Saccharomyces cerevisiae S288C: one gene and its partners. The protein of the gene in region 1 binds, or shares a complex with, the protein of each later gene. Each region holds a gene or a part of one and is shown in the gene's direction. Other genes may lie near its edges.

What was found.
Region 2: the proteins of RTT102 (region 1) and ARP9 are in contact, whole or in part, in a crystal structure (PDB 5TGC), measured with the Saccharomyces cerevisiae proteins. Residues at the interface, in NP_011791.4 of Saccharomyces cerevisiae: Met1 (codon at 1,637), Pro3 (codon at 1,643), Gln4 (codon at 1,646), Leu6 (codon at 1,652), Ile7 (codon at 1,655), Thr8 (codon at 1,658), Lys9 (codon at 1,661), Ala10 (codon at 1,664), Asn11 (codon at 1,667), Lys12 (codon at 1,670), Val13 (codon at 1,673), Tyr15 (codon at 1,679), Gly17 (codon at 1,685), Pro19 (codon at 1,691), Ser21 (codon at 1,697), Lys22 (codon at 1,700), Glu23 (codon at 1,703), Ser24 (codon at 1,706), Trp25 (codon at 1,709), Arg26 (codon at 1,712), Trp63 (codon at 1,823), Arg65 (codon at 1,829), Ser77 (codon at 1,865), Cys78 (codon at 1,868), Glu79 (codon at 1,871), Asp80 (codon at 1,874), Ile81 (codon at 1,877), Leu82 (codon at 1,880), Leu84 (codon at 1,886), Phe87 (codon at 1,895); in NP_013747.1 of Saccharomyces cerevisiae: Ala2 (codon at 1,579), Pro3 (codon at 1,582), Leu20 (codon at 1,719), Val32 (codon at 1,755), Pro33 (codon at 1,758), Glu34 (codon at 1,761), Leu35 (codon at 1,764), Glu36 (codon at 1,767), Ile37 (codon at 1,770), Pro38 (codon at 1,773), Tyr51 (codon at 1,812), Thr52 (codon at 1,815), Tyr53 (codon at 1,818), His54 (codon at 1,821), Ser55 (codon at 1,824), Gln81 (codon at 1,902), Arg84 (codon at 1,911), Leu85 (codon at 1,914), Phe87 (codon at 1,920), Val88 (codon at 1,923), Ser89 (codon at 1,926), Ile90 (codon at 1,929), Leu91 (codon at 1,932), Ser92 (codon at 1,935), Asp93 (codon at 1,938), Ala95 (codon at 1,944), Phe102 (codon at 1,965), Leu106 (codon at 1,977), Ser107 (codon at 1,980), Asn108 (codon at 1,983).
Region 3: RTT102 (region 1) and RSC30 share a complex: the UniProt entries of both Saccharomyces cerevisiae proteins name them as parts of the two forms of the RSC complex.
Region 4: the proteins of RTT102 (region 1) and ARP7 are in contact, whole or in part, in a crystal structure (PDB 4I6M), measured with the Saccharomyces cerevisiae proteins. Residues at the interface, in NP_011791.4 of Saccharomyces cerevisiae: Tyr27 (codon at 1,715), Trp29 (codon at 1,721), Pro32 (codon at 1,730), Tyr56 (codon at 1,802), Pro57 (codon at 1,805), Phe58 (codon at 1,808), Arg59 (codon at 1,811), Tyr60 (codon at 1,814), Lys61 (codon at 1,817), Thr62 (codon at 1,820), Trp63 (codon at 1,823), Leu64 (codon at 1,826); in NP_015359.1 of Saccharomyces cerevisiae: Asn4 (codon at 2,672), Arg5 (codon at 2,675), Glu100 (codon at 2,960), Glu101 (codon at 2,963), Leu102 (codon at 2,966), Pro103 (codon at 2,969), Pro134 (codon at 3,062), Val135 (codon at 3,065), Trp449 (codon at 4,007), Ser450 (codon at 4,010), Trp454 (codon at 4,022), Ser456 (codon at 4,028), Glu458 (codon at 4,034).

The regions. Positions count from the first base shown.
Region 1 is NC_001139.9:1,041,640-1,044,249, forward strand, and holds RTT102 (Rtt102p), read left to right. Parts: upstream 1-1,636; coding exon 1,637-2,110; downstream 2,111-2,610. Other genes in the region: TAF1 (histone acetyltransferase), read right to left, coding at 1-1,456; RNH70 (Rnh70p), read right to left, coding at 2,180-2,610. UniProt on the Saccharomyces cerevisiae protein: Probable component of the chromatin structure-remodeling complex (RSC) which is involved in transcription regulation and nucleosome positioning. RSC is responsible for the transfer of a histone octamer from a nucleosome core particle to naked DNA.
Region 2 is NC_001145.3:336,213-341,572, forward strand, and holds ARP9 (Arp9p), read left to right. Parts: upstream 1-1,575; coding exon 1,576-1,605; intron 1,606-1,691; coding exon 1,692-3,065; downstream 3,066-5,360. Other genes in the region: formin-binding protein HOF1, read left to right, coding at 1-1,095; YMR030W-A (uncharacterized protein), read left to right, coding at 1,101-1,391; RCH1 (Rch1p), read right to left, coding at 3,206-4,510; IMP2 (endopeptidase catalytic subunit), read left to right, coding at 4,930-5,360.
Region 3 is NC_001140.6:212,888-219,632, reverse strand, and holds RSC30 (Rsc30p), read left to right. Parts: upstream 1-1,798; coding exon 1,799-4,450; downstream 4,451-6,745. Other genes in the region: mediator complex subunit MED6, read left to right, coding at 1-636; peptidylprolyl isomerase CPR2, read left to right, coding at 790-1,407; metallothionein CUP1-2, read left to right, coding at 4,915-5,100; YHR054C-B (uncharacterized protein), read left to right, coding at 4,943-5,116; YHR054C (uncharacterized protein), read left to right, coding at 5,384-6,448. UniProt on the Saccharomyces cerevisiae protein: Component of the chromatin structure-remodeling complex (RSC), which is involved in transcription regulation and nucleosome positioning. RSC is responsible for the transfer of a histone octamer from a nucleosome core particle to naked DNA.
Region 4 is NC_001148.4:636,863-642,558, forward strand, and holds ARP7 (Arp7p), read left to right. Parts: upstream 1-2,662; coding exon 2,663-4,096; downstream 4,097-5,696. Other genes in the region: Rab GTPase-binding protein SRO7, read left to right, coding at 1-362; HTS1 (histidine--tRNA ligase), read right to left, coding at 517-2,157; GLN1 (glutamate--ammonia ligase), read left to right, coding at 5,346-5,696. UniProt on the Saccharomyces cerevisiae protein: Component of the chromatin structure remodeling complex (RSC), which is involved in transcription regulation and nucleosome positioning. RSC is responsible for the transfer of a histone octamer from a nucleosome core particle to naked DNA.

The DNA.
Region 1 (2,610 bases):
GAACAGCCACTTTGTAAAATGGAGATTGTAAATTAATCGCAGGTTGAGAATGCTGAATATTTAAGTTCGAGATGGTAGAACGAACTTTTGTTTGATGGGTTTTTTTCAAGATTTGATATTTATCATCATTAGATAAATTGAATTTTTGTTGCAAAATAGTTTCGTTGAGGGGCAATATCAAGTTACTACTATCCAGTTGTTGCTTTTGCTGCGCTAAATTATTTGTTTTCTCAATCATCAGCAACAGTTTTTCGTCATTCATATTTAATTCAGCATGTTTAGACTCTTTCAATTTTGCATCAATGATCATGTCTTCATCCCACTGCCAATCTTCAGCAACATCCTCAATCAAGCTCTTCAATTTATAACCGCCGGAGAACTTTAAGTTGGGTGTCATAGACGAATCCGCCAAGGTTGCTGTTGATGAAGTACCTTGGTTGATGATTTTTTCTTGGTCCCAATCATCAGTGGCAATAAGCAAGTCTTCCGATATGGTCTTTTCATCATGAATAATCTTTCTTTTTTTTTGTTGCTCTTTGATAGGGAAAAGTTCATCAATGGAAACATGAATTAAACCTCTTCGGGATGCAGAAGAGTTACTTTGAAGTAAATTGTTTTTCCCTTGATAAATCGGAGCGACGTAAGATATTGTCCTTGAGTTGAATAGCCTCTTATCATCCTGTTGAACCTTGAATTTCAAATTTAAAGGCATAAACGGTTTCTTTACCCTAGATATTTCACTGTGCCAATGATAAGGAACAGATCTTCTATAAATCAGCTTGTTCCATTTTAAAATTTTACCCTTTTCAAAATCAGGAAAGTATTTTTTTAGAAGATACTTCTCATGGTTTATCAAGTCTAATTTGGTGGCTTTCTTATGCTTGCCATCTGACATATCTGGTTCCATGATAAATCCACCATTTATCGACATATCATTTCCATTAACGCCACCAATGGAAAGTTGAGAATGCCCAATTTCATTTGCGCCACTACCATCAAGAACTCCAGTTTCAGTGGCGAGATGAATTTCATTTGCATCCATTCCCATAAACAAAGCATTGCTAGTTGCGGGAGTACCCCCATCATCCTCCAAAATAAACTGTTGAGACAAATCACCATTAATTTCAGGCAGTTGCATATTCAAACTATTTGAGTCGATACCGAGTACGGCACCGTTCTCGTTTACATCATCATACGCGCCCATAGTCATCATAGCTGGATGCAAATTAGCATCAGATTCTTCTGGCAAATCGTCATCGTCATCAGCAAGTTCATCTTCATCTTCAAAATCTACAGCATCCGGCAAATGCTCCGTATAGTCCTTTGAATTGGCACCTTCATCCCCGCCAATGTATGACCCGATTTCTAAAGAGCCAAACTCTCCGCCAAAAATAGCTTCATATGCTTCATCTTCGTTGGCCAAGTTGGTCTTGCCGGATCCCTGCTGCTTTACCATATCGCCTTATACTCCTGTTGTACTTCTTTTTCTCTCTGTGTTTAAAATGCTATTTATTCTCTTAAAAGCACATTTGAAAACCATCGCCGCGAAATGAAATTATCGACTAGTTTATTAATGAACAAGGCGATAAAACCTAATGTTGGAAAGAAAGAGCTACGTCAGCAAGAGATAGAGAAAATGGACCCACAGACGCTCATTACTAAGGCCAATAAGGTTTCTTACTATGGCAACCCTACGAGTAAGGAATCATGGAGGTATGATTGGTACCAACCATCTAAGGTGAGCTCCAATGTGCAGCAACCACAACAACAGCTAGGGGACATGGAGAATAACTTGGAGAAATATCCATTCAGGTATAAAACATGGTTGAGGAACCAGGAAGATGAGAAAAATCTACAGAGGGAGAGCTGTGAGGATATATTAGATTTGAAAGAATTTGATAGAAGAATACTGAAAAAGTCGTTGATGACATCGCACACTAAGGGTGATACAAGTAAGGCCACCGGTGCTCCTTCTGCTAATCAAGGAGATGAAGCTCTTAGTGTGGATGATATAAGAGGCGCTGTCGGTAATAGTGAAGCCATTCCTGGGTTATCTGCGGGAGTGAACAATGATAATACAAAGGAGAGTAAAGATGTGAAAATGAATTAAAAGGAAAAGTATTATGCATATATATATATATATATATATATATATATTTATATATTTATACACATAGAATTATTTTACAGTAAAGGATGCTACACCACCCCGGGCTAACTTTATGGCTTCTACTATTTCAGGTTCCCTTTCGCGTCTTTTATCTAATCTTTCCTTTTTGTCTTGAATAAACTCTAACTCAGTTGAAAGATTGTTCCATGGTCTTGTGTCGCCTGTACCCGACATGATCAAAATCATAGTACCTGGTGTAGCATTCTCGTATAATTGTGTTAGATGTTGCCCTATATCATGAAGAACCATGGACGCATCGAACGAAGGAGTTTCCTTCCGTGGCTTTTTATTATAGTTGCGTGACCTCTCTAAGTTCTTGATTCTCCCCACAATAAGTTTGACATCTTTATTTAGATTCTCGTGAATATGGGTCCATGTCTCATCATCTTCGACGCAACGGATTAACTGGCCCTTAGAATCGTCCTCAGTATGATTTTTAA
Region 2 (5,360 bases), on another chromosome or scaffold:
ATGGACAATATAAGGAAACTATCTTCTCAGCTGAAGGAAACCGAAAATAAAAGGAAACTAGCTTCAATAGACAAATATGAGAAACCATTGCCATCTCCAGAAGTCACCATGGCTACACAATTTAGAAATTCCACACCCGTCATACGTAATGAGACAAAAGTGGTTGCTAACCCAACATTATCTTTGAGGTCTTCACCCGTCCAGTTACAGAGCAATGTGGATGACTCCGTGTTAAGGCAGAAACCTGATAAACCAAGGCCGATTGTTGGGGAAGAACAACTTAAACCTGATGAAGATTCGAAAAATCCTGATGAAAAAGGTCTAATGGTGCATAAAAGAAATCAATCTCTCAGCTCACCATCAGAATCAAGTTCTTCTAATCCAACGGATTTTAGCCACATCAAAAAGAGACAAAGTATGGAATCTATGACTACATCCGTAAGTTCAATGGCCAATAGTATAGACGACTCACAGAGATTTGCCAAATCATGGAACTCGTCAAATAGGAAAAGAAAATCTATGAGCCATTTGCAAGTACCCTCATCCGCTTCTTCGAGGTCGGATGATGGGGGAAGAACGCCTAACTCTGCGCACAACCTCAATGAAGATGATTATAACACGAGGAGAGATACCAGTACAAGCACAATTTTGTTCAAACCTCCTGTGGCAGTAAGAGGAACGTCTAGGGGGCACACGCATAGACAATCCATGATAATGCAAGATTCAAGTAATCCAATTGAAGATGCCTTGTACGAAATGGAAAGAATCCAAAGTAGTTCTAAACCAGGTACAAAAACAGGAAACATCATGGATGAGAGAGGTGTGGTCAGGGATAGAGGTATTACTGTTACCTTGCCTATTGTCACCAGTGAAGGTTTTCCAGTCATTGAATATGCCAAGGCCATGTATCCATTGATTGGAAATGAGGCACCTGGATTAGCGAATTTCCATAAGGGCGACTATCTGCTAATTACTGAGATTGTTAATAAAGATTGGTATAAAGGTGAAGTTTATGATAATGACCGTATAGATAGAAATCATAGGATAGGATTAATTCCCTATAATTTCATTCAGCTACTGCATCAAGGTCTTTGATCTCGATGTATATCAATTTTACTAGTTTTCTGATAAAAGAAAAAAAGTATAATGTCAGATTTTTGTTAAGTAGAAATAGAAAGATATACGCTGCCGTGGGAGAAGGACACCTCTCCGGATTTGTAACTAAAAATCATAAAATATCACGTCTTTCCTTCATATTTTCAAAAAAAAAAAAAGTTTTCTTTACCATTTTTGACACAATAATCACGATAATTGTTAGGTCAGGCATTCCCTTTCCACTTTTATGTTCATTTGGACGCAATAAGATATACATATTATTTAATGTGCTCTAATGACAGTTCTACTGTGTTTATATCATTAGAGTCACTTGTTACGAATACTACATATTTCCGCGCAGTGGCTAAAAGCAAATTTCAACATTATAAATCTCTAATAGTAAACTGACAATATTGCGGAATTAGAAAAAATGTACCACGCGAAGTTAAGTGTCTTGAACAACTACTATATGCATTGAATATGGCTCCATTTAGGCAGGACAGTATTTTGGTACGTATTTAGTTCATCAATGGATTTTTTAAGTCTTCACGAACAGTTTTTGGTTAATCTTTTATACTAACAACAATTCATAACAGATAATATACCCCAGATCTCAAACTACTCTCGTTCAATTTGGTTTGAATGAAGAAACATTCACTGTACCTGAGCTGGAAATACCAACACAGATTTATCGGACCACGAGACAAGATGGTTCCTACACATATCATTCAACGAACAAGGATAATAAAGCCGAATTAATCAAACCAATCCAAAATGGTGAAATAATAGACATAAGCGCCTTTACACAATTTCTTAGACTAATATTTGTATCTATTTTGTCTGATAGAGCTAATAAAAATCAAGATGCTTTTGAAGCTGAATTATCTAATATTCCTCTTCTACTGATTACGCACCACTCTTGGTCGCAATCGGATCTAGAGATTATTACTCAATATGTCTTCGAAAGTCTTGAGATAAACAATCTAATCCAATTGCCGGCTTCCTTAGCGGCCACTTATTCTATGATTTCGTTGCAGAATTGTTGTATTATTGATGTTGGAACACATCATACAGATATTATTCCTATTGTTGACTATGCACAATTAGACCATCTTGTCTCTTCAATACCAATGGGCGGACAGTCTATTAATGATTCTCTAAAAAAACTACTACCTCAATGGGACGATGATCAGATAGAATCATTGAAAAAATCACCAATTTTTGAGGTGCTCAGTGACGACGCCAAAAAACTATCAAGTTTCGATTTTGGAAACGAAAATGAGGACGAGGATGAAGGAACTTTAAACGTTGCCGAGATTATTACAAGTGGTCGTGATACACGTGAAGTTTTAGAGGAAAGAGAACGTGGTCAAAAAGTCAAAAATGTTAAAAATAGCGACTTGGAATTCAATACTTTTTGGGATGAAAAAGGTAACGAAATTAAAGTTGGTAAGCAAAGATTCCAAGGATGTAATAACCTGATTAAGAATATTTCTAATCGTGTAGGATTGACGTTAGATAACATAGATGATATTAACAAAGCTAAAGCCGTTTGGGAAAATATTATCATCGTCGGTGGCACTACTTCAATTTCAGGTTTTAAAGAAGCTTTACTGGGTCAACTACTGAAAGACCATTTAATTATAGAGCCAGAGGAAGAGAAGTCAAAAAGAGAAGAGGAAGCGAAATCCGTATTACCAGCTGCAACAAAAAAGAAAAGCAAGTTTATGACAAATAGCACCGCATTTGTTCCAACTATAGAATACGTACAGTGTCCTACAGTAATCAAACTGGCTAAATATCCAGATTACTTTCCTGAGTGGAAGAAAAGTGGATATTCAGAGATTATATTCTTGGGTGCCCAAATTGTTTCTAAGCAAATTTTCACTCATCCTAAAGATACATTTTATATCACAAGAGAAAAGTATAATATGAAAGGACCGGCTGCTCTTTGGGACGTGCAATTTTAAGAATACGTGATAGATGCTTCGTGTATCCAAAATCCGTGTGAATATGTGCTGTTTAGTTTTTTCCATCCAATGAGGATGGGAAATATATACATAAACGTTATGTAATATATAGAATTCATGCAAAATTAACAAGGGAAATATCACCTTGGTTGTGTATATGGGACGTTGTTCGACAGAACGGATTGATTTTCACCAGTTCCAATTGATATGATCTTTTCCAAATCAACTTCCTCATTCTCATTTGCACAAGATGACTCGCTTCCGTCTGCTTGAGCGTCCTTTTGTATCCATCTTTTGAACAAGCTTACAAAGAAATTTGCCGTCATGACTTGCTCAACTTGATATAAAACCAAGGGAACCAACAACTTACCCAGGTGTTCTTTTTTATCGCCGTATTGTGAAGTAATTAGTGATACACCCAGTGCTGCAGTTTTAGCCGGGCCACAAAACATAATGCAAATCGCATCTTCCTTTGAATAATAAAAAGGCCTAAAGATATTATACGAATAGCGGTACAATCTTGTAGATTTGCCCTCTATTGGTTCATGAGGGAAAAGCTTGAGGATGAACCATGGCCTTGCACATAAGTATGACAGACCCGTGAAGAATATATAAATTCCCAAATTAAAAAAGCAGAGAAATATGATGCAAACATGAGAAACGCTAGTAAACGCATCCTGATAAAAGGCAGTTGAGAATGAACTAAACATAATCAATAAAAGCATGTAAGATCCAATTTTAATATGGTATTTTTTCAAAAAGCCCAGGTAATAAGCAGTACCCTTCGGAAAGCAATTTTGAATAACCTGACCCACAAACAAGGGTACGAATACAGAGAGACCAACCTGTTTCATAACACGGCCATAAAGCGCACCAATGCCATTTCCAGTGGCAGGGTTGCCGTATGCAAATGGTGCGCGGTTAGTAAACATTTGAACCAATGCAGGTGTAATAAACGCACCCAACAAATTTCCAATGAATACTTCACAAACGCACAAAAGGCTATTTCCACCTGCATTCGTAGTCATGATAACGTTTGAAGCCACGGTTGTTGGACAAGTGGCAGTCAAAATTAGACCGATAAGTACCCAGTCATCTATTTTCGGATCATTAGCAGCCTTTACCGCGCAACAAAATCCATATACTATGGACGAGGTAATAAGGAAACTCAGAACCAGAATAGTGGCATGAGCTCTCCAATTTAACATATTTGCCATTAGTGACCTTGATTTCATTCCCAGGCCACTTTGGAGAAAAATCCAGGCGACGCAGCCGTACCCAATACTATATTGGCCTTTAATTAACCCTCCGTCTCTTGCAAAATTCGGAGCAAATCTTGCAATAACGATTAAAATAGCCAAACAGATGAAAAACCACTGGGATTTCAGAAATTCTGTTACTGAATGTGCCCAAATTTTTCGTATTAGAGAGTACTGAGTCTTCATTTGGCACTAAGTAGGTGTATTAAATGTGTGTCTTCCTTCTTTTTGCAAGTTATGTCAGAGTTGGGATATATCGTAGAAAAGGGTGCGAAGGTGATTCAGGTAGCATAGACGGTTTCAGGCAATAAAAAGCTATAAATCTCTCTTTATATAATTGAAGGTTAAAATTTGCTAGATTTTAAAGTGGTTCGGTTCTTTTTTATGCTTTCTTAGCTTCTGGCTGTTCGTTGGAGCTCAGACTTACGGGTAGACCAATGTCATCGAAATACTGTGGAAGATCAAGCTCGGAAGGAGAGCGAGGCTAAGTTCCGAGCTACTGAAAAAAATGGAAAAAACAAGTGCCTTAATTGAATGACTAGATGGGTGCTTGTTAACGAAGGCGTGCTGCTATTCATGAAGCTGTTGCATTGTACTGTACAGTAATGTTTCGAGCCGGATCATCAAAAAGATTCTTACGAAACACACTAATAGCAATTTCATGGGTTCCGGTACTTCTAACAATCAATAATAATGTGGTCCATATTGCGCAAGTTAAAGGTACCTCTATGCAGCCTACGCTGAACCCGCAAACGGAAACGCTGGCAACAGATTGGGTGCTGCTTTGGAAGTTTGGAGTCAAGAACCCAAGTAATTTATCTAGAGATGACATTATCCTTTTCAAAGCTCCTACAAACCCTCGGAAAGTTTACTGCAAAAGGGTTAAAGGTTTACCGTTTGATACCATTGACACGAAGTTTCCATACCCTAAACCTCAAGTGAACCTGCCCAGGGGACACATATGGGTCGAAGGGGACAATTATTTTCATTCGATTGATAGCAATACTTTTGGCCCCATTTCCAGTGGGTTGGTCAT
Region 3 (6,745 bases), on another chromosome or scaffold:
TATGTGGATCCGGCAAGAAGACAAATCCTTTTCAAGTATCCTATGTATATGCAACTGGAGGAGGAATTAATGAAGTTAGATGGTACTGAATACGTATTGAGCAGCGTAAGAGAGCCTGACTTCTGGGTTATCAGGAAGCAAAGACGAACAAACAATTCTGGTGTGGGAAGCGCTAAGGGACCAGAGATTATTCCATTGCAAGACTACTACATAATTGGTGCAAACATTTACCAATCGCCAACAATTTTTAAAATTGTGCAAAGTAGGCTGATGTCCACGAGCTACCATCTAAATAGCACATTGGAGAGCTTGTATGACTTGATTGAGTTTCAACCTTCCCAAGGAGTACACTATAAAGTACCTACGGACACTAGCACGACTGCAACGGCTGCCACCAACGGGAACAACGCTGGAGGGGGCAGTAACAAGAGCAGTGTACGACCTACCGGCGGTGCCAATATGGCGACTGTTCCCTCAACCACAAATGTCAACATGACAGTCAACACTATGGGTACAGGAGGACAAACTATAGACAACGGTACCGGTCGTACTGGCAACGGTAACATGGGTATAACTACAGAGATGTTGGACAAATTAATGGTCACAAGCATTCGATCCACCCCAAACTACATATGAGAACTGCCATGGCAATTGCATATATCTTTGTACTATATTATAAAACCCCGCGAAATCAACTTTTCAGTTTTCTTCAAAAATCGATGTACCCATCATAAGAAGTTCCCCCAAAAGGAAAGAAATGAGAGGAAAAAGACACGAAGGGAAAACAAAATGAAATTCAGTGGCTTGTGGTGTTGGTTGTTATTATTCCTTAGCGTTAATGTTATTGCATCTGATGTGGGTGAGTTGATTGATCAGGACGACGAAGTAATTACACAAAAGGTGTTTTTCGATATTGAACATGGTGAAGAGAAAGTTGGCAGAATCGTTATTGGGTTGTACGGAAAGGTATGTCCTAAGACGGCGAAGAACTTCTACAAGTTAAGCACCACCACTAATTCCAAAAAGGGGTTCATCGGGTCCACTTTCCATAGGGTGATTCCCAACTTCATGGTACAGGGAGGGGACTTCACAGACGGCACTGGCGTTGGTGGCAAATCCATCTATGGAGATACTTTCCCTGACGAAAACTTTACTTTGAAGCATGATCGCAAGGGCAGACTATCGATGGCTAATCGTGGTAAAGATACCAATGGATCTCAGTTCTTCATCACCACTACGGAAGAAGCGTCGTGGCTCGATGGAAAGCATGTGGTATTTGGACAGGTTGTGGACGGCATGGATGTGGTGAACTACATACAGCACGTGTCCAGAGATGCGAATGACAAACCTCTCGAGGCGGTCAAGATCGCAAAATGCGGTGAGTGGACGCCTGAGCTCTCTTCTTGAGTATATGCAATATTTCATACTATATACATAGATATCAATTTCAGTATGTATAGTTAAAGGTAAATTAACTAGAGAACGTGGGAACAGTTCCGCACTGTGACCACCGGAACGTACGTCTGGTTAGCGCAGCATTAGTCCCAGTTACATCCGATTCAAAATGCAACAGCAAGTATTAATTGGGGAAATCATATCATTTTGAATATAACCTTGGCGTCCTACTAAGGATGGTTATACATCCTAGCTCGTGTAGTGTGATATTTTGCAGGAATGATGCAAAGAGAGGAAGAACAAGAAGAGAGTTGTTGTTTTTAATGTATCTTAGCAATTTATGAGAGGAGCATTGTCGTTGTCTGCTGTGACTAGTGCGTAGCTTTGCCGTTTGTTTTTAATCATGATGGACATGCAAGTGAGAAAAGTGAGGAAGCCGCCTGCTTGCACCCAATGCAGGAAGAGAAAGATCGGGTGCGACAGGGCAAAACCGATATGTGGGAATTGCGTCAAGTATAACAAGCCGGACTGTTTTTATCCAGATGGACCTGGTAAGATGGTCGCTGTGCCCTCTGCGTCCGGGATGTCCACGCACGGCAATGGCCAAGGTTCCAACCATTTTAGTCAGGGAAACGGTGTAAATCAGAAAAACGTAATGATTCAAACGCAGTATCCGATTATGCAAACGTCGATAGAGGCATTCAACTTCTCGTTCAACCCCTCTGTGGATACTGCGATGCAGTGGACCAAGGCCGCTAGCTACCAGAATAATAACACCAATAATAATACTGCTCCTCGTCAGAATAGTAGTACCGTTAGTAGTAATGTTCATGGAAACACTATTGTGAGAAGCGATAGTCCAGATGTGCCCTCCATGGATCAGATTAGAGAATATAACACACGATTACAACTGGTTAACGCTCAAAGTTTTGACTATACAGATAACCCATACTCTTTTAATGTTGGTATCAATCAAGACTCGGCCGTTTTCGATCTAATGACTTCTCCGTTTACTCAAGAGGAAGTATTAATCAAGGAGATAGACTTTTTAAAAAACAAATTGCTTGATTTACAAAGCTTGCAACTGAAAAGTTTGAAAGAAAAATCGAATTTAAATGCCGACAATACCACGGCAAACAAAATTAACAAAACAGGTGAGAATTCTAAGAAAGGCAAGGTTGACGGTAAAAGAGCCGGATTTGATCATCAGACTTCAAGGACTTCTCAGTCCTCACAAAAATACTTTACAGCGCTCACAATAACAGATGTGCAAAGTTTAGTCCAAGTGAAACCGTTGAAGGATACCCCCAACTACCTTTTCACTAAAAACTTCATCATTTTTAGAGATCATTATCTTTTCAAGTTCTATAATATTTTGCACGATATCTGCCATATTAATCAGTTCAAAGTAAGTCCTCCTAACAATAAAAATCACCAACAATATATGGAAGTTTGCAAAGTTAACTTCCCACCAAAAGCAATAATTATTGAGACACTAAACTCTGAATCCCTTAACAATCTGAATATTGAAGAATTTTTGCCAATCTTTGACAAAACCCTCTTACTAGAATTTGTTCATAACTCTTTTCCAAATGGTGATACCTGTCCTTCATTCTCAACGGTCGATCTTCCTTTATCTCAACTGACCAAACTAGGCGAATTAACTGTGCTTCTACTGTTGTTAAACGATTCAATGACCCTATTCAATAAGCAGGCTATTAATAACCATGTTTCGGCATTAATGAATAATTTGAGGTTGATTCGAAGCCAAATCACATTGATAAACCTGGAATATTATGACCAAGAGACAATCAAATTTATTGCCATCACAAAATTTTATGAATCTCTGTACATGCATGATGATCATAAATCAAGTTTAGACGAAGATTTGAGCTGTCTGTTAAGCTTCCAGATAAAAGATTTCAAGTTATTCCATTTTTTGAAAAAAATGTATTACTCAAGACATTCGCTTCTAGGTCAGTCTTCATTCATGGTACCCGCTGCTGAAAACCTATCTCCGATACCTGCCTCTATTGATACGAACGACATTCCTTTAATTGCTAACGATTTAAAATTACTGGAAACGCAAGCAAAATTGATAAATATTCTGCAAGGTGTTCCTTTCTACTTGCCAGTAAATTTAACCAAAATTGAAAGTCTGTTAGAAACCTTGACTATGGGCGTGAGTAATACAGTAGACTTATATTTTCATGACAACGAAGTCAGAAAAGAATGGAAAGACACTTTAAATTTTATCAATACCATTGTTTATACAAATTTTTTCCTTTTTGTTCAAAACGAATCCTCTTTGTCCATGGCAGTTCAACATTCTTCTAACAACAATAAGACCTCGAACTCTGAAAGATGTGCAAAGGATCTGATGAAAATTATTTCTAATATGCACATTTTTTACTCAATAACATTTAATTTTATCTTCCCCATAAAGTCGATAAAGTCATTTTCAAGCGGCAATAATCGCTTTCATTCTAATGGTAAAGAATTTTTATTCGCAAATCATTTTATTGAAATCTTACAGAATTTTATAGCAATCACATTTGCTATTTTCCAACGTTGTGAAGTAATATTATATGACGAATTTTACAAAAATCTTTCAAATGAGGAGATTAATGTTCAATTGCTATTGATTCATGACAAGATTTTGGAAATTTTAAAAAAAATAGAAATTATCGTATCCTTTTTACGAGATGAAATGAATAGCAACGGAAGTTTCAAATCTATTAAAGGTTTCAACAAGGTTTTGAATCTGATTAAATATATGCTGAGATTTAGCAAGAAAAAACAAAATTTTGCGAGAAACTCTGATAACAATAATGTTACAGATTATAGTCAGTCGGCGAAGAACAAAAATGTTCTCTTGAAATTCCCCGTTAGTGAACTGAACAGAATCTATTTAAAATTTAAGGAGATTTCAGATTTTTTAATGGAAAGAGAAGTTGTCCAAAGGAGTATAATTATTGACAAGGATTTGGAATCTGATAATCTGGGTATTACTACGGCAAACTTCAACGATTTCTATGATGCATTTTATAATTAGTAAGCCGATCCCATTACCGACATTTGGGCGCTATACGTGCATATGTTCATGTATGTATCTGTATTTAAAACACTTTTGTATTATTTTTCCTCATATATGTGTATAGGTTTATACGGATGATTTAATTATTACTTCACCACCCTTTATTTCAGGCTGATATCTTAGCCTTGTTACTAGTTAGAAAAAGACATTTTTGCTGTCAGTCACTGTCAAGAGATTCTTTTGCTGGCATTTCTTCTAGAAGCAAAAAGAGCGATGCGTCTTTTCCGCTGAACCGTTCCAGCAAAAAAGACTACCAACGCAATATGGATTGTCAGAATCATATAAAAGAGAAGCAAATAACTCCTTGTCTTGTATCAATTGCATTATAATATCTTCTTGTTAGTGCAATATCATATAGAAGTCATCGAAATAGATATTAAGAAAAACAAACTGTACAATCAATCAATCAATCATCACATAAAATGTTCAGCGAATTAATTAACTTCCAAAATGAAGGTCATGAGTGCCAATGCCAATGTGGTAGCTGCAAAAATAATGAACAATGCCAAAAATCATGTAGCTGCCCAACGGGGTGTAACAGCGACGACAAATGCCCCTGCGGTAACAAGTCTGAAGAAACCAAGAAGTCATGCTGCTCTGGGAAATGAAACGAATAGTCTTTAATATATTCATCTAACTATTTGCTGTTTTTAATTTTTAAAAGGAGAAGGAAGTTTAATCGACGATTCTACTCAGTTTGAGTACACTTATGTATTTTGTTTAGATACTTTGTTAATTTATAGGTATACGTTAATAATTAAGAAAAGGAAATAAAGTATCTCCATATGTCGCCCCAAGAATAAAATATTATTACCAAATTCTAGTTTGCCTAACTTACAACTCTGTATAGAATCCCCAGATTTCGAATAAAAAAAAAAAAAAAAGCTATTCATGGTACCCGCTGCTGAAAACCTATCTCCGATACCTGCCTCTATTGATACGAACGACATTCCTTTAATTGCTAACGATTTAAAATTACTGGAAACGCAAGCAAAATTGATAAATATTCTGCAAGGTGTTCCTTTCTACTTGCCAGTAAATTTAACCAAAATTGAAAGTCTGTTAGAAACCTTGACTATGGGCGTGAGTAATACAGTAGACTTATATTTTCATGACAACGAAGTCAGAAAAGAATGGAAAGACACTTTAAATTTTATCAATACCATTGTTTATACAAATTTTTTCCTTTTTGTTCAAAACGAATCCTCTTTGTCCATGGCAGTTCAACATTCTTCTAACAACAATAAGACCTCGAACTCTGAAAGATGTGCAAAGGATCTGATGAAAATTATTTCTAATATGCACATTTTTTACTCAATAACATTTAATTTTATCTTCCCCATAAAGTCGATAAAGTCATTTTCAAGCGGCAATAATCGCTTTCATTCTAATGGTAAAGAATTTTTATTCGCAAATCATTTTATTGAAATCTTACAGAATTTTATAGCAATCACATTTGCTATTTTCCAACGTTGTGAAGTAATATTATATGACGAATTTTACAAAAATCTTTCAAATGAGGAGATTAATGTTCAATTGCTATTGATTCATGACAAGATTTTGGAAATTTTAAAAAAAATAGAAATTATCGTATCCTTTTTACGAGATGAAATGAATAGCAACGGAAGTTTCAAATCTATTAAAGGTTTCAACAAGGTTTTGAATCTGATTAAATATATGCTGAGATTTAGCAAGAAAAAACAAAATTTTGCGAGAAACTCTGATAACAATAATGTTACAGATTATAGTCAGTCGGCGAAGAACAAAAATGTTCTCTTGAAATTCCCCGTTAGTGAACTGAACAGAATCTATTTAAAATTTAAGGAGATTTCAGATTTTTTAATGGAAAGAGAAGTTGTCCAAAGGAGTATAATTATTGACAAGGATTTGGAATCTGATAATCTGGGTATTACTACGGCAAACTTCAACGATTTCTATGATGCATTTTATAATTAGTAAGCCGATCCCATTACCGACATTTGGGCGCTATACGTGCATATGTTCATGTATGTATCTGTATTTAAAACACTTTTGTATTATTTTTCCTCATATATGTGTATAGGTTTATACGGATGATTTAATTATTACTTCACCACCCTTTATTTCAGGCTGATATCTTAGCCTTGTTACTAGTTAGAAAAAGACATTTTTGCTGTCAGTCACTGTCAAGAGATTCTTTTGCTGGCATTTCTTCTAGAAGCAAAAAGAGCGATGCGTCTTTTCCGCTGAACCGTTCCAGCAAAAAAGACTACC
Region 4 (5,696 bases), on another chromosome or scaffold:
ATTCATTACAGTGGGCAAGAGGCACTGTATATTGTACTCCCGCTCAATTAAATGAATTATTGGGTGGCGTGAATAGACCTGCATCCAAATACAAAGAGAGCATCATTGCTGAGGGAAGTTTCTCGGAGCGTTCTTCAGACGATAATAATGCGAACCATCCGGAACACCAGTATACCAAGCCCACCCGTAAGGGCAGGAACAGTAGTTACGGGGTACTAAGAAATGTTTCTCGAGCTGTAGAAACTAGATGGGACGCCGTTGAAGATAGATTCAACGACTATGCTACCGCCATGGGAGAAACAATGAACGAGGCTGTTGAGCAGACTGGAAAAGATGTAATGAAAGGTGCCCTTGGTTTTTAAATACATACACTAATTCATACAGGGTAATGAGCAACTTCCTTCTATACTTATTTTTTTTTAGTTCTATATGCTTTATAAATTAATTTGAATCGATTTATTTTTCATTATACATGTCTAGTTTTACGAAGGTTTGTAAATACATGAGCTATCAAGTTTATAATCCTTTAATTAAACGAGTGACCTCATTTAGACCATCTTCATGAATTTGTGATAACTTTTCTTGAACAATAGGAACAATGTCAGCCGCACTAACCAATTCACCATCATCATCGGCAAATTCTTGGCCCAATCTTTTGACACGTAATTTACCTTCTAAGTACTCCTCCTTACCGAGGATTACGGCAATGTGACAACCCGCTTTTTCAGCAGCATCGAATTGCTTCCTAGGATTAGCCTTGGCCTTATAGACATATTCAGCTTCAATGCCAGCATCCCATAATTGCTTAGTAACCTTCATTCTTTCGGGTAAATAACCAGTCCAGTCCTTACCACCACCAAAAGCCATAACGAACACCTGTGTAGCCGTTGGCTTTATAGTTGTAGAGGAATTAATTCTTTGTTTGATCAAAGAAAATATTCTTTCAACACCAAATGAAATACCAACACATGGAATTTGAGTAGATTTTTTGCCGGAAGCTTCAGAGAACATGTTGACCAAATTATCATATCGACCACCGGCTGCAATAGAGCCGACACCAACGAATTCTGACGCGTCTTCTGCAGATTTGGCCTTCTTCTTCAATTCTGAAGCATTCTCTGGTGGAGCAGATGCAGAAGTAACAACTTCATAGATCAAACCTGTATAGTAATCCAAACCTCTTGCAAGAGAAAGATCAAAAGAGATGAATGAGTCAATGTCAAATGCTTCGGTATACTTCATCAAAGTAGCAATATCATCCAAACCTTGTTTAGCCTTTTCGTTTGAAGTAATGTTGGCATCTGCGGATAGAACAGCGTGAATTTCCTTCAAAGAACCATTTAATTTAACATACTCACCGATTTTATCAGCAGTTTCTTCGGATTGACCTTTTTCTTCGGTCATTTCCTTCTTGACTGCTTCCCATGGAGATTTGTCCAACTTATCGACAGCAGAAGAGATTTTCCTCACATCCTCATCTTTAACACCAGCGATTTGGAAGATCCCATCAAGAATCTTCCTGTGATTCAATTTGATTTTGAAATCTTTGATTCCCAAACTGGTCAAACCTTCCACTAAAATGGACAAACATTCGGAATCAGGAACCATAGATTCGAATGTGCCTGCAACGTCAAAATCACACTGGTAAAATTCTCTCATACGACCCTTAGTCATGGCTGGTTGGTCTCTTCTGTAGACTTTTGCAATGTGATACCTCTTGATACTCTGAATATTGTTCATGGCAACGTACCTGGCAAAAGGAACGGTCAAATCGTAACGTAAAGAACATAATTCACCACCCTGGTCCTCCAAGTTGTAGATCAGTTTGGAGTCCTCACCATACTTGCCTGCTAAAATTTCTCTTAACTCGAAAACAGGTGTGTCGATAGTGACACCACCATGCTTCTTGAATAGGCCAGATAAAGTGCTAAAAATGGCTTCTCTGATAACCATATCACTATCAGCCCAATCCTTCGTACCCTTAGGTGTTTTCAAAGACACTTGTAGTTTACCTTTCTTTGGAGCCTTTGAAGCTTTTAGAGCATTAGCAGCATTAGCAGTAGGAGCAGAAGTAGCAGCAGCGGTAGCGGATGACATCCTGATTATCGAAGACGACTTTATAGATGTGACTACTTTATTTAGTGATCTACTAAGCATTAAGCAAGAGACGAGCAGAAAGGAACTATTCTAAAGTAACACATTGGGCCGTAAGACTCATTTAAAAGCCCGGTCGATCAAGGCCATAAGTCATCTTCGAGCTGGTTAGAATTGAAGAAAAAAAAAAACTTGATAAAAAATTTCAAACAAAAAAATTATCGCCTTACACGGAAACGAATAGATTTACTTATTACACAAGAGAGAACAGTGATTATAAGGAAAGAAAGAGATATATACAATATTTCCATCAAAGACGTACGCATCACGGCGTTCATATAAGTATATCATCGGCAAGTCTTCACACCTTTCAATACTTAGACTTGTTCACCTTGAGTGATCCTGAAAAAAAAAAATGATGGCCGCGTTTCGAAGAAAATAAAGAAAAAATAAAGCAAACCTCAAACAAGAAAACAAAGCGGAAAATGGTAAACAAGAGAGATAGAACAGAGTAGTAGGCTATTAGCAAAAGCGCGAGAATTACTACATTATAAAGGATCTGTCAAGAATGACATTGAATAGGAAGTGCGTAGTGATACATAACGGATCGCACAGAACGGTGGCTGGATTTAGTAACGTTGAATTGCCACAATGCATTATACCCTCTAGCTATATTAAAAGAACAGATGAGGGGGGGGAAGCTGAGTTTATATTCGGAACCTACAATATGATAGACGCTGCGGCAGAAAAACGCAATGGTGACGAGGTGTATACATTGGTAGATAGCCAAGGGTTACCGTACAATTGGGACGCATTGGAGATGCAGTGGAGATATCTGTACGACACCCAATTGAAAGTTTCACCCGAGGAACTGCCACTGGTGATTACGATGCCTGCCACCAATGGTAAACCGGACATGGCCATATTAGAGCGCTACTATGAGCTGGCGTTCGACAAATTAAATGTACCAGTATTCCAGATTGTAATCGAGCCATTGGCAATTGCCCTATCCATGGGCAAGAGTTCTGCATTCGTGATTGATATCGGCGCGTCAGGCTGTAACGTTACTCCCATCATTGACGGTATTGTGGTGAAGAATGCTGTAGTGAGATCTAAATTTGGCGGTGATTTCTTGGATTTTCAAGTACACGAAAGGTTGGCTCCACTGATTAAAGAAGAGAACGACATGGAAAACATGGCCGACGAGCAAAAAAGGTCCACCGACGTTTGGTACGAAGCAAGCACGTGGATTCAGCAATTCAAGTCTACTATGTTGCAAGTAAGCGAAAAGGACTTGTTTGAGTTGGAAAGGTATTACAAAGAGCAAGCAGATATATACGCTAAGCAACAGGAGCAGTTAAAACAAATGGATCAGCAACTTCAGTACACGGCGTTAACGGGAAGCCCCAACAATCCGTTGGTTCAAAAGAAAAATTTTCTATTCAAGCCATTAAACAAGACTTTAACCTTGGACCTTAAGGAGTGCTACCAATTCGCAGAGTATCTCTTCAAACCTCAACTGATATCAGACAAATTCTCACCAGAGGACGGACTGGGACCGCTAATGGCAAAATCAGTCAAGAAGGCCGGCGCTAGTATAAATTCAATGAAGGCCAATACCTCCACCAACCCAAACGGATTGGGTACAAGCCATATAAACACCAATGTTGGCGATAATAACAGTACTGCCAGCAGCAGCAACATATCACCAGAACAAGTATACTCGCTACTGTTGACGAACGTCATCATCACAGGATCTACCTCTCTGATCGAAGGTATGGAGCAACGCATAATAAAGGAGCTGTCAATCAGGTTCCCGCAATACAAATTGACAACTTTTGCCAACCAAGTCATGATGGACCGTAAAATCCAGGGATGGCTGGGCGCCCTTACAATGGCCAATCTGCCATCATGGAGCTTGGGAAAATGGTACTCTAAGGAAGATTACGAAACGCTGAAAAGAGACAGAAAGCAGTCGCAGGCTACGAACGCAACAAACTAGTGGTAAGGCGCAAATATCCAAAAGGGATTGTAGGCGGCTAGAAGGAGATGAGATCTCGACCCATTTTTCTCAGCGCCGGTAGTAGCTATCAGTAAGGAGTAAGCGGGTTTCCTTCAAGATTCAGTCCACCCCCTACTTTGAGTGAGGGACATATAAACAAACGCGATAACTCGATGAACCCATTCTAATATAAAAAAACTGTATAAATAGTTATATAGAGATGAACTCTAAGCTAGTGAGGCCCACTGTAAACAGCCATTTTTCAATATGCGCTACCCGGCGGCGGAATATCGTCCCAGCTACATGATAGCCGCTTTTTTGTCTCTCTTTGTCCCACCTGTTCAAAGACATTTGGTAATCAGTTTGTCAGGACAATAGTAAACAAAAGTGCGCAAGTACACATGCGCTGCACGTGCGGCCGGAACAATGGCGCTTTTGGCTCGTCCGGATGATGCGAAAGGGAAAATAAAATCTCGCAATCGGAAAAACACTCGCGAGAACCAAAACAAGGATCCCCTAAACCCAGTACCCGCATACGGTTCTCCCGGGGAAAAGGGGGCGGAGGCCGGACGATGAGTGTTACCCGGATAGGACTACGGATCGCTTCGCACGTTTGTTTACAATTGATGACTGCGCTCCCCTAATAGATAAGATAAGCTCGCGAAGGCAGAAAAAAAAAAGTCTTCTACAGCAGTTGGTCCGCACAGACGATGCCAGACGGTGTTTTATCGAAAATTTTTTTCGCATCATAGTGCCATTTGTGGTCATTATTATTCCCCAAATATGCGAAAATAGTACACTATTTTTGGCAGGAGAGTAGGCTGATATGCCGCATTGATGTCCTGTGTAGCGAAACACAAACAAAAAAAGAAAAAGTAGGATGAAAAAAAGAAAAGTAATATGAAAAAAGAGTGAAAAATTAATTCATTTGTTAGTGTAAGCGGTCAGGTGTAAGTAGTAGGCTTGATAATGAATTAAAGATGACTCCGACGCATATTGTTTGCCATGTTTTTATTTTAGTTTGTAGATTTCTTTTTTTGTAATATATAAGGGAGTGATTCTATATATCGAATTCTCAGGCTTGGTTGGTTCGTAGGTTGTTCTGTCTTTGTTTTCGTTAGGTAAGAACATCACACAAAGATAACTATAGAATCACATACATATTTGTGAGAAATTAACTTCATTTCATTTATAGAAGAAGTTCAACCGAAACAAAAATTAAACATAATATAATATAATATAATCAAAAATGGCTGAAGCAAGCATCGAAAAGACTCAAATTTTACAAAAATATCTAGAACTGGACCAAAGAGGTAGAATAATTGCCGAATACGTTTGGATCGATGGTACTGGTAACTTACGTTCCAAAGGTAGAACTTTGAAGAAGAGAATCACATCCATTGACCAATTGCCAGAATGGAACTTCGACGGTTCTTCTACCAACCAAGCGCCAGGCCACGACTCTGACATCTATTTGAAACCCGTTGCTTACTACCCAGATCCCTTCAGGAGAGGTGACAACATTGTTGTCTTGGCCGCATGTTACAACAATGACGGTACTCCAAACAAGTTCAACCACAGACACGAAGCTGCCAAGCTA